Macaca mulatta: one gene and its partners. The protein of the gene in region 1 purifies or fractionates together with the protein of each later gene. This does not show direct contact. Links are inferred from orthologs where the notes say so. Each region holds a gene or a part of one and is shown in the gene's direction. Other genes may lie near its edges.

Evidence for each region. Proteins that work in one complex are often made in the same cells at the same time.
Region 2: the proteins of ASF1A (region 1) and UBN2 purify together in Homo sapiens (affinity purification with mass spectrometry; 3 studies listed by BioGRID and IntAct, counting the BioPlex papers as one, with this or other methods). This does not show direct contact. The link is inferred for Macaca mulatta from reciprocal best matches to the Homo sapiens genes ASF1A and UBN2.
Region 3: the proteins of ASF1A (region 1) and CABIN1 purify together in Homo sapiens (affinity purification with mass spectrometry; 4 studies listed by BioGRID and IntAct, counting the BioPlex papers as one, with this or other methods). This does not show direct contact. The link is inferred for Macaca mulatta from reciprocal best matches to the Homo sapiens genes ASF1A and CABIN1.

Annotation. Positions count from the first base shown.
Region 1 is NC_133409.1:23,859,256-23,863,317, forward strand, and holds the start of ASF1A (histone chaperone ASF1A), read left to right. Parts: upstream 1-1,262; 5' UTR 1,263-1,602; coding exon 1,603-1,711; intron 1,712-4,062. UniProt on the Homo sapiens protein: Histone chaperone that facilitates histone deposition and histone exchange and removal during nucleosome assembly and disassembly.
Region 2 is NC_133408.1:179,124,622-179,128,121, forward strand, and holds part of UBN2 (ubinuclein-2), read left to right. Parts: intron 1-188; coding exon 189-1,739; intron 1,740-3,500.
Region 3 is NC_133415.1:28,349,091-28,352,590, forward strand, and holds part of CABIN1 (calcineurin-binding protein cabin-1), read left to right. Parts: coding exon 1-264; intron 265-1,397; coding exon 1,398-1,472; intron 1,473-3,500. UniProt on the Homo sapiens protein: May be required for replication-independent chromatin assembly. May serve as a negative regulator of T-cell receptor (TCR) signaling via inhibition of calcineurin. Inhibition of activated calcineurin is dependent on both PKC and calcium signals.

The DNA of each region.
Region 1 (4,062 bases):
GTAGGAGGGGCTGACATTAGCTGTCTCACATTAACTTTCAAAAGACCATCAGATGAAAACGTTTCATCAAAAGCCACCTACTTAAGTATGAACAATGCCCAAAGAATGACAAATCAACATTCTGGGCACTATCCTAAGAGAAAACTCTTCCAGAGCAGATACTTCAGAATTAATTTTCTCTCTGAATTTGGCCAAGTTTGGTGGTTTCATTCACAACATTTAAGGAAAAAAGTGACGGTTTATGGATAGCAGGTAATAAAAACAAATCTTTATACCACTTACTAGTAATAGAAACGGTTTAGGCTCACAAATGTGTTAAAGCTTTCTCTTTCCCCGCAATGGTAGTCAAACAGCATAAACGAATCAACATTTCCTCAGTTCAGATCTCAACTGGTTACAGGCAAGCAAGGGCTCCTCAGAATTTGCTTTACTAATGGTTTAGGTCAGAAATTTTTTTGAAGATCAAATGTCTTGCTATGTCTTCGTGTTCTTTTCCCCATCTCTATTATGTGTGTTGCCCTGTTGGTCTCCTGACACTTCCATTTTCTCCTTTTATGTTCCTGCTATGCTCTCCCAATGGCAGTAACCTAGGGTATAACTGATCACACCTCTTGTGATTTTTTTCTTATTCTAGGACTTTCCAGATCTGGACTCCGAAGAAGACGCCCAGGTGTAAGCCCAAAGGTTACCTATTTAAATTTTCCAAGCACAGTGTGTGGAAAATCATTCCTCGCCCTTCATTTTGTGTTGCTTAACGGCGCTGTCGTGCCTAAACGTAGATACTGGCCAAGAGCTAGATTTCCAAAATGGCTTTGCTCCTTTCGAGCTGACATCGGTCTATAACATGCAATTTATTTCCCCTGCAGGCAATCTTTTTCTCTACTCCAACTACTACCCGATACACAGAAAGCTGAACCTAACCCAGTGTAAACACCGATTCTCATCTGCTAAATTCAGCAAGGCCGGCAAAGCTGTTGCAATGATGTAAAAAGAGCGTTAAAAAATTAAAAAAAAAAAAAAAAACACAAAAAACCACAAAAAAACAAAAAACGCCAAAACACCCACACGAAGCCAACCGGAGGGGCGGGCGTCGGCCGAATCGCGCCCTCCCGCCGCGGCCACGCCTCCCCGCCGCGGCCACGCCCCCGCCGCCCCTCTCCGCGCCGCCGCCGGCGGCCTCCGCGCGGGCCTCCCAGCCCTTATTCCACTCACTTTGTTCTCCGCCTTTGTCCTAATCCACACCAGCAGGTGGAGCCGCAGTTAAAGTTTCCGAGTCCATTCCGGGAGCGGGAGCCCATCTTGCTGGCTGCCGAGGCCCTCGCTGGAGGAGGAGGGTCAGAGCTCGGGTGCAGCCAATCGAGGGCAACGCTGCTACTTATCAGAGCAGAATGGGCTGTAGTTTAGTGAAATAGGAAAGCTGCAAAACACTGTGGAGTGCTCCCGTGTAAATAAAAAGAGGAAAAAAAAAGTTTCTCAAGTCGCCGCTGCACAACGTCGGGCCGGCGCTGGGGCGGGGGTCTGCGCTCTCCCGAGCGGCCGCGCGCTGGACTTTATTGTGCCGCAACCAGCCCCAGTTCCCATTGTTTGTGTTTTTTTCAAAATATGGCAAAGGTTCAGGTGAACAATGTAGTGGTGCTGGATAACCCTTCTCCTTTCTACAACCCGTTCCAGTTCGAGATCACCTTCGAGTGCATCGAGGACCTGTCTGAAGGTGAGTGCGGCGCCCGTGCGCCCGGGCTGTCAGTTGCGGGCTGCAGACGTTGAAAGTTTCCCGGGCCCGGCCTCGCGCTGGGCGGCTGTGTTCGGCGCCTGGCGGCCGCGGGCTGCTCTGCGGAGGGAAACTTCAAGTTGATGGTCGACGGCCGCCGAGGCGCGCGCGGCTTTCCGCCGCAGCCCAGGCGCCTGCCGGGCTCAACTTGCGAGGAACTTGTTTGAGCGGAGGAAGCCATGTTGTCAGCTTTGTCTGCGGGCGGGCAGCTCGGAGACCCGCACTCGCGCCCGCGGCGCCTCCTGGGGTCGCGCCGGGCTGGCTTAGCGCCGCCAACAGCTTCCGCGACCCTCCGGGCCCGGGCACGGAGGCTGGGAAGGGAGAGGCTGTGCGTGTGGTCGCGCCGGCGAGTTCGGAGCGGAGCCATCTTACCCCAGTCGAGAATTGGGCCAGCGACCCCGGCGCACGGCGCCTCTTCTTGCCCCTTCGCCCGCCTGCCCCCGGCGAAAGGGAGGCAGTAACTCTCGAGAGCTCACGGTGGAGTCGCCGCACTCTCCGGGCTGGCCATGCCTGGCCGCTTCGGGGAGGAGAGCGAGGCTGTCCTCGCGCTGATTTCTGGCTTCCTCGACCAACCAGCGGGGGAGGCGGGCGCAGGCTCGGCCCCTCCGCGCCGCGGGCTGGGCGCCGGCACTCCCCGGGGGCCGCGGGTCCTGTTCGGCCGGTCCTCTTCGGCCGGTGCCCGGGATGCGCCGGGATGCTGGCGCGCAGGCTCCCCAACCAACGTGGACTCCTTTCCCCTAATGACGAAAAGCTAATCTCAGGAAGAGAGAGAGAGCTGAGCTAGGAAGTTACATTTAACCTAAGAGCAGAAATAAGATACTTAAATAATTTCCAGGACTTAATCTCTGCCTTCTAAATAGTCTGAAAGAAGACTTTCTTCAAGAGCGTGTTGAAATGTAAAATAACTCCACATCCAGATGCAGAACACACCCTAAACATAAAACACAAACGTAGGCTAGGAAATTAAGGTAAACAACTCATGTCAGTCCAAGAATTCCTGGTATTTTTTCTACATATATTTTAAGGTCTTAAAAATACGTATTCTTAATATGTTTAGTAATAAATATTTAGAAAGCTAAAACAACAATTATCTTTGCTTTAATTATATTTTACTAAAGTAATTCAGTACTTCATTTGCCAGTTTTGAAGGGGAAATAGTTTAACTTCATCGATGAGGGGCATACTTCTTTGAACTAGAAGTGTATTTTTAAAATGCTCTGAAGATGATTTGGCTAATCGTGGCATGTAAAACTTTTCATTTTAAAAACTAGTTTTTAATCTCTAAAATGTATGTATCATATGTAAGGTTAATTTTAATTATAAAACAATATATATCATTGTAATAAACTTTTAGAAAGTTGTACAGGCATATATAAAGTTAACAGTTCTCTGTACTCAATGCCTTCCCCTATCTCCTTTAGGTAATCACAATTACTACTTTAACATGTGCCCCTCTGTGGGGTTTTTTTTTTTTTTTTTTTTTTTTTTGGTAAACCTATATAGAGTATAAATGCACATACATATATAGGGCAAATTTTGAAAGATGATTCATTTATTAAAATAATTTCAAATAGGCCATTGATAACACTTAGGGGTATTTTTCTTATTACTCTGAAGTCATCTGTATGATACTACTATTAATATAAGCATTGCAGCTACCAGGCCCATTTTTCACACCCAACAGTCAGTAATTTTTTTTTTTTTTTATTGCCAACTGCATATAAAAATAGACAAAAGAAAAACCATTGATCGGTCCATTCCAACTTACACCACAGTGTTTTTCAAGTATACCACCAGAAGTTCTTCAAATTACAGGTATTTCTCAAGTGATGCCTTCCATTTTAGGAGTCAGCTCTGAACAAAGAAGATAGATGACTCAGGATGTCGTTACAGGGCTTTTACATTGCATAGATGAAACCAGCCATTCATAAAGCCAAAACAGGTTCCATTTTTAACTGGGATCCATTCAGAACCCAGCTGAATCACATCAGGGTTTTACAGTACTGGTATCAAAAATATACTTATTTCCAATGGTATATTTCACTTCCTAGGCACCATTACTGAGCATTTATTTAGTATTTTAAAAAATATTTTAAGCTGAGTCATACTGAAGCTGCAAAGGAATCTTTCAAAAAGGTGCCATGCCTGTATACTCCACCTAGAGGCTATGTGGATTAAGGAAATTGAGTTTACTTAGCAAAGGCTTCTTATAGGTTCCATACTTTTATATTATAGTTCTTTTAAAAATTCTGTTCTTAAACTATAGAATTTTTTTTTTTTTTTAAATGAGACAG
Region 2 (3,500 bases), on another chromosome or scaffold:
TTTGTCTTGTGAGGACAGCTCAGTCAGGAGCTCTGTCATCTCAAAAATTATTTTTGTTTTGATAGTCCCTAAACATTTCCAGTAGAAAAACAATTTTAATTGTCATGAAAATCTCTTAGTTATTTAAAATTAACTTTGTAATTTTTTATTCACCATTTCTATTTTTTTCATATGATGCTTTACATTAGGAGTATAGTCCAAAAAAGGACCAGAAAACTCCGGCATCCCTGGTGGCTTCGGTTAGCGGTCCTCCAACGAGCTCCAGCACAACTGCCGTTGCTGCAGCCAGCTCTAGCTCTGCACCAGCCCAAGAAACCATCTGCCTCGACGACTCACTAGATGAAGACCTTTCTTTCCATTCACCTTCACTGGATCTTGTTTCTGAAGCTTTAGCGGTTATCAACAGTGGGAACAAGGGCCCTCCTGTTGGCTCAAGGATAAGCATGCCAACCACAAAGCCTCGTCCAGGACTGAGAGAAGAAAAATTAGCTAGTATCATGAGTAAGCTGCCACTGGCTACTCCCAAAAAACTAGATTCTACTCAGCCTACACATTCTTCAAGTCTTATTGCTGGTCACACAGGGCCAGTACCAAAGAAACCCCAGGATTTAGCTCATACTGGCATCTCTTCAGGCCTTATTGCTGGTTCTTCCATTCAGAACCCTAAAGTTTCTTTAGAACCTTTGCCAGCCAGGCTACTTCAACAAGGACTTCAGAGGTCAAGCCAGATTCACACTTCTTCCTCTTCACAGACCCACGTCTCCTCTTCTTCCCAAGCCCAAATTGCTGCCTCTTCTCATGCTCTGGGAACATCCGAGGCCCAAGATGCTTCTTCATTAACACAAGTAACAAAGGTGCACCAGCATTCAGCTGTCCAGCAGAACTATGTGTCTCCATTACAGGCCACCATCAGTAAATCCCAGACCAACCCTGTGGTGAAGTTAAGTAATAATCCCCAACTCTCCTGTCCCTCCTCGCTTATTAAGACTTCAGATAAGCCACTTATGTACCGCCTTCCTTTATCTACCCCCTCACCTGGAAATGGTTCTCAAGGGTCCCACCCCCTGGTTTCTAGGACAGTACCTAGCACCACTACCTCCAGTAACTATTTAGCCAAGGCTATGGTGTCACAGATCTCCACGCAGGGTTTCAAATCTCCCTTCTCGATGGCTGCCTCCCCAAAACTTGCCGCATCTCCCAAGCCTGCCACATCTCCTAAACCCCTGCCCTCGCCTAAGCCTTCTGCCTCACCCAAGCCCTCTCTGTCAGCTAAGCCTTCAGTATCAACTAAACTTATTTCTAAATCCAACCCGACTCCCAAGCCTACTGTATCCCCAAGTAGTTCCAGTCCAAATGCACTAGTAGCCCAGAGTAGCCACTCCAGCACTAACAACCCGGTCCATAAACAGCCCAGTGGAATGAACATCAGCAGACAGTCTCCCACCTTGAATTTATTGCCCTCTAATCGCACTTCAGGCCTTCCATCTACAAAAAATCTTCAGGCCCCCTCAAAGCTAACAAACTCATCATCCACTGGAACTGTTGGGAAGAATAGCTTGAGTGGAATTGCAATGAATGTACCTGCCAGCAGAGGTAGCAACCTTAACTCAAGCGGAGCTAATAGGACTAGTCTATCTGGGGGAACAGGAAGTGGAACACAGGGTGCTACCAAACCATTGTCTACTCCACATAGACCATCCACTGCCTCAGGGTCTTCAGTGGTAACAGCCAGTGTGCAGGTATGTATGTTCTGTACATCCATGTGATAAACTGTAAGATTGCATAGTGTCATCTTTCTTGTAGGTAACTTTAATAAGCTTTTTATGATACGTGGATTGTTCTCAATAGGCTTATTACAGCCTGTGGCCATGGAATATTCCTGATGCTGACATCATAGTGGTAGGCACACTTGTAGATGAGGTGTTTGTTGGGATGTGGATTTTTTTTTTAAACAAAGTAACAAAGGTGCACCAGCATTCAGCTGTCCGACAGAACGATGTCTTCATTACAAGCAACCATCACTAAATCAACTTTAAAATTATTTGAAAAAGCACAACTAAAATGCATATTTCAAACTTTCTTATCAAAATTCAGAACAAAGTAGTAACTTAGGAATTTAACATTCACTTAACTCTTCCCTTCCGTTTTTCTCCTGCCAGCTTTCTTACTTTTAAATCAAATTTTTACATTCCTGTTATTTTTTAATCATTTATCTTCTCAAAATTTTTATTTTGCATTAATTTTATAGTGCTATATAATTTTCTGTGTCAAATTAGTGTCAGTTGTCCTTTTATTCCACAGTTTTCCCATTCATGAATTTTTAGTTTAAACTTAATCTCTCAATTAGCTGAGTGCCTCACTCAAGCAATCTTTTTAAGAAGGGTAGCCTGGCGTGGTGGCTCATGCCTCTAATCCCAGCACTTTGGGAGGCCAAGGCAGGAGGAACACTTGAGGTCAGGAGTTCAAGACCAACCTGGCCAACATGGTGAAACCCTGGCTACTAAAAATACAAAAAAATTAGCCAGGCATGGTGACGCATGCCTGTAGTCGCAGCTGTTTGGGAGGCCGAGGCAGGAGAGTCGCTTGAACCCAGGAGGCAGAGGTTGCAGTGAATGATATCACGCCATTGCACTCTAGCCTGGGTGACAGAGCGAAACTCCATCTCAAAAAAAAAAATAGTAATAAATTTTAAAAAGGGTAGCATGAATGCTATTTTACCTTAGCTCATGTGCCCCTGGTAATTTCTTTCTGTGCTGTCACACTTGAGTAGGCATAACCTTCTTGGGGCACTAACTGTTCCACTTCAAATTTTGTAAATACTCTTCCAGTGACTCTTGCTTAGTATTTAGGATTATGGAGAAGTCTGAGACCATTCTCAGACTTTTCTCATTCTCCTTTTGTTCCCTTATCATTAATGTGTTTTCTCTGCCTAGTTTTCATTAGTTGTATACCTAGAACATAATAGCATTCCATCTCAGACCTGGTTATTTATTTTAGATCAAGAATATTTTGTTGTATTATGTGTCTGATTACTGTTTCTGATGCATTTATCCTAAGTTTTTTGAGAACCCTTTATTATATTTATTTATTTATTTTTTTTTTTAATTTTTCCCTGAGACGGAGTCTCACTCTGTTGTACAGGCTAGAGGGCAGTGACGCAATCTTGGCTCACAGCAGCCTCCGCTTCTTGGGTTCAAGAGATTCTCCTGCCTCAGGCTCCCAAGTAGCTGGAATTACAGGCACCTGCCACCATGCCTGGCTAATTTTTGTATGTTTATTTATTTATTGTTATTTTTTGAGACCCAGTCTCCTCTGTCGCCCAAGCTGGAGTGCAATGGTGTGATCTCGGCGCACTGCAACCTCCACCTCTCGGGTTCAAGCAATTCTCCCTACCTCAGCCTCCTGAGTAGCTGGGATTATAGGCACCCACCACCGTGCATAGAGACAGTATTTTGTCATGCTGGCCAGGCTGGTCTTGAACTCCTGACCTCAGGTGATCC
Region 3 (3,500 bases), on another chromosome or scaffold:
AGTGCCCGGCAGCAGCCCACCCCGCTCACCCCAGCCCAGCCAGCCCCCGCCCCTGCCACCACCATAGGGACCAGGGCAGGGGGCCACCCCGAGGAGCCGCTCCCCCGGCTCAGCCGCAAGAGGAAGCTCCTGGAGGACACGGAGTCAGGCAAGACACTTCTACTGGATGCCTACCGTGTGTGGCAGCAGGGCCAGAAGGGTGTGGCCTACGACCTTGGCCGTGTGGAGAGGATCATGTCGGAGACCTACATGCTCATCAAGCAGGTGGGCGGCGGGCAGAGGCCTGGGGGCACTTGTGTGCTGGTAGCATCCCCACTCTTGCCTTTCTATTCTCAAGGAGGGTCTCCCGGGCCTGCCCTTGAGCTGGGTTTTAGGTGTTCTTCCCACCCCATTCCCCACTGTTTACATTCTGCAATGAGCTTTAAAAAGTTGATATTCAGCCTGGAAGGAAGTGAGAGCCTATCTCAGAAACCTTATCACAACCAGCGCAGGGAGTCTGGACCGCTGCTCCCACCGCTGTTACGGGCCTCTGGGCGCATCTTAGGGCATTTCCTTCAAGACTTCTGTGGCTGTCATCTAAAGATGGCTGCAGTGACCAGAGATCCCCTTCTCATTTTGCCTTCTTTTTTAAAACATTTTATTTTAATATATCAAGCACTTTCCTTTTTCTCCGTTTAAAATTATTCCCATAGGAAGAATCTCCAAAACTTTAGTGACTGGCTCAGATGGGATGACCATCCCTGACATACAGTATTCCCTCTAATCATGTCAGTTTGCAATGCACCCCAGCCCCAACTGCCCCATATCATATGGACCTTGGGCACTGAATCTCCAGACACACTTGACACAGCATGGGGCGATCTCCATCAGGCCTGGGATTCTAAAAGGCCTCTCCCACTCTAATCATGGCCCTCTATCCTGCCCACTTACGGGGCAGGTTTTAGCTCAGAAGACTCCCCTCATCCCCTAGCAGCTGAGCCTCAGCTGAATTTGAAGGCTTGGTTGGAGCCCTGAGTCTGCCTGCCAGCTTCAGCTTGTGAGGATGTAAGTAACTCAGCCATAGAAATGAGCTTGGTATAGCCAGATGGGCTCAGAGGAACGGCTGGGTCTAGTCCTGGCACCAGTACCTGGTGCTGTGGCACCTGAACAGGCACCCCCACCTGGAAGATGGATGGGCACCTGCCCCTGCTACCCATGAAGAGCTGGGAGGTAGGGGTCCGGGTGTGGACAGCAGTGGGGACAACTGGCTCTTCAGTGGAGTCTGGGGTGGTGGGGGGCACCCGAGCCACAGGGCATGCCCCCTACCTAGGCTGGTCCGTGCTACATACACAGACAGGGCTGGGGGAGGCTCACCACAATGGCCTGGGCCCCCTGACCTCCGGCATCTCGCTGTTAAGGTGGATGAGGAGGCTGCGCTGGAGCAGGCTGTGAAGTTCTGCCAGGTCCATCTTGGGGCTGCCGCCCAGAGACAGGTAAGCCCAATTTAGCCTGTGCCAGCCTCATCTTGCGGAGCCTGCTCCATGTCAAGGCCCTAGGATGCAGGCTGAGAAATAGTTCCACTTTTGGGACTGTTATTGTGGTGGTCAGCTTGGGCCAAGGGGAGATGAGCAGGGGTCAGCTGAGCCTCCAGCCCATGGCCATGGTGGGCGGGAACTTGACAGGGCCTAGACCCCAGTTCAGACATGCCGAGGGGTCTCCTCACCTCAGCCACCTTTTCTCTATCAAGGAGGATGACCCCTAGCCAGCTGACCTCACCTGGGAAGGTCATTCCTTCTGGGACAGTAGTAGAAGAAACAATGTTAGAGCCAGGCTGGTTAGGAGCCAGGTGGCTGGGTAAAGGTGGAGATGCAGCCTACACAGGGACCCCCCCCTCCATGAGGGGAGGGCATGTAGGGAGCAAGGTGTCCTAAGAGAGGGTAGGCAGGAGTCCTGGAGTTTATTAAGCAGGGAGAAAGCAAGGCAGCCACGCTCCTAAGTGGGGAAGAAGGGGTTGGTTCAGGGGCCAGGCCAGGGCTGGGGCAGGGTCCAAGATATGGCAGAGAGTAGGGAGTGGGGGAGGCCCCTCCTGGGAGGACCCCAAGCCAGGGTTGAGATTGGGTTTGTGTTGAGTCTGAGACTCTTTTAAGAGAGAGAGGCCAAGTGGTCAGGAAGGTCAGGGGCCCCCACCTGGAGGGGCAGTCCAGGCCAGAGACCTGGGGTAAGTGCCCCTGAAGCCATCAGAGGCCAGAAGAGGACACAGGCAGGGCCAAGGACCTTGGCCAGGTCACAGGCACAGAGAAGAGACTTGGGCAGGACAGGGAAGTAGCCAGGAAGGAGAGTGTTCCCAGGGGCCAGCTGGTCAGCAATGCCAGGGCAGTGAGGATGGGGGCCTGATGGATATGGGAACCCAGGGGCCAGGGCTATTTTTGAGAAGTGATGAGGCTGGAAAGGGCTTGAGCAGGAGCAGGTAAGGTGCTGGGTCTGGAGGAGAGAAGTCTCCATGGGAGAAGTCCAGCTTGAAGCCAGTGGGCAGGGTCTGGCTATGAGTTGGGGTGGGGTCTCCACGACCGAAGAAGTGGGAGGGATGGGATCAGATCTCAGTGAGAGGATGAGGCAGGGAGGGGCAGACATGGCAGGCAGAGAGAGCAGGTGTGCTCTGTCTAAAACATAAGCCTCCAAGCCAGAGGTTTGGTGGCATGCCATTTGAGTAGGTGCAGCCTCTTGTCCCCAGGGGTGGCCCGATGCCCCGGGTAGCATCACCCCAGGTCCCTTTGTTCCAGGTCCCCTAGCAGAGGGTTGGTAGCTGCCTTTTGGGTCCAGACAGGCTTCCTCTCAGTGGAATGGGGCCTCAGGCCCCCACCACCTGCCTGGGCTGTTACGTCAGCGGAAGCCTGGGAGGTTCAGCTTTGACCAAGCAGGCTGTGGGCCAGACAGGGCATGCTGTGGGGAGTAGGTGGGCCTGGTCCCCAGCTAAGGGCCAGAGTCCTTGGCAGGGAGTGCCCCAAACCCCAGCAGTCCCCACCATTTCATTGTCCAGCTGGGCAGAGTGCATAGCACAGCTGCCTGGGCCCCAGTGCTGGGCCCAGGCCCAGGTCCACCAGGGTGCCGTGCCTCCTCCACTGGCCCAGGTGAAGCAGGTGGACATGTGAGTGGTGACCACTCAGGAGACAGGAGAGCTGTTTCTGCTTTTGATGTCCTTAAAAAATAGATCCACACAGGAAACCCCCCCACAACCCCACACCATAGTGTGAGAAGAAAGGGGTGCTGAGCTGGCAGGAGTCAGGGCAGGGCCAGACCCCATTTTGCCAAGGACATGCATATCAGGGCCCCTGAGGGCTGGGTGGGCAGAAGTTTCCGTCAGAGACCTTGGAAGATACAGCCTGGGTTATGGGGGTGGCCAGAGCAAGGGGACCCAGGTCCTTACCTTTCAGGTTACCTGCTGCTGGGCGACGCCAGGCCAGGCCCCAGCAGTCCCCTCCCAGGGTGTGGAGGAGAGTGGTGGGGAGGAGGCCCTAATGACC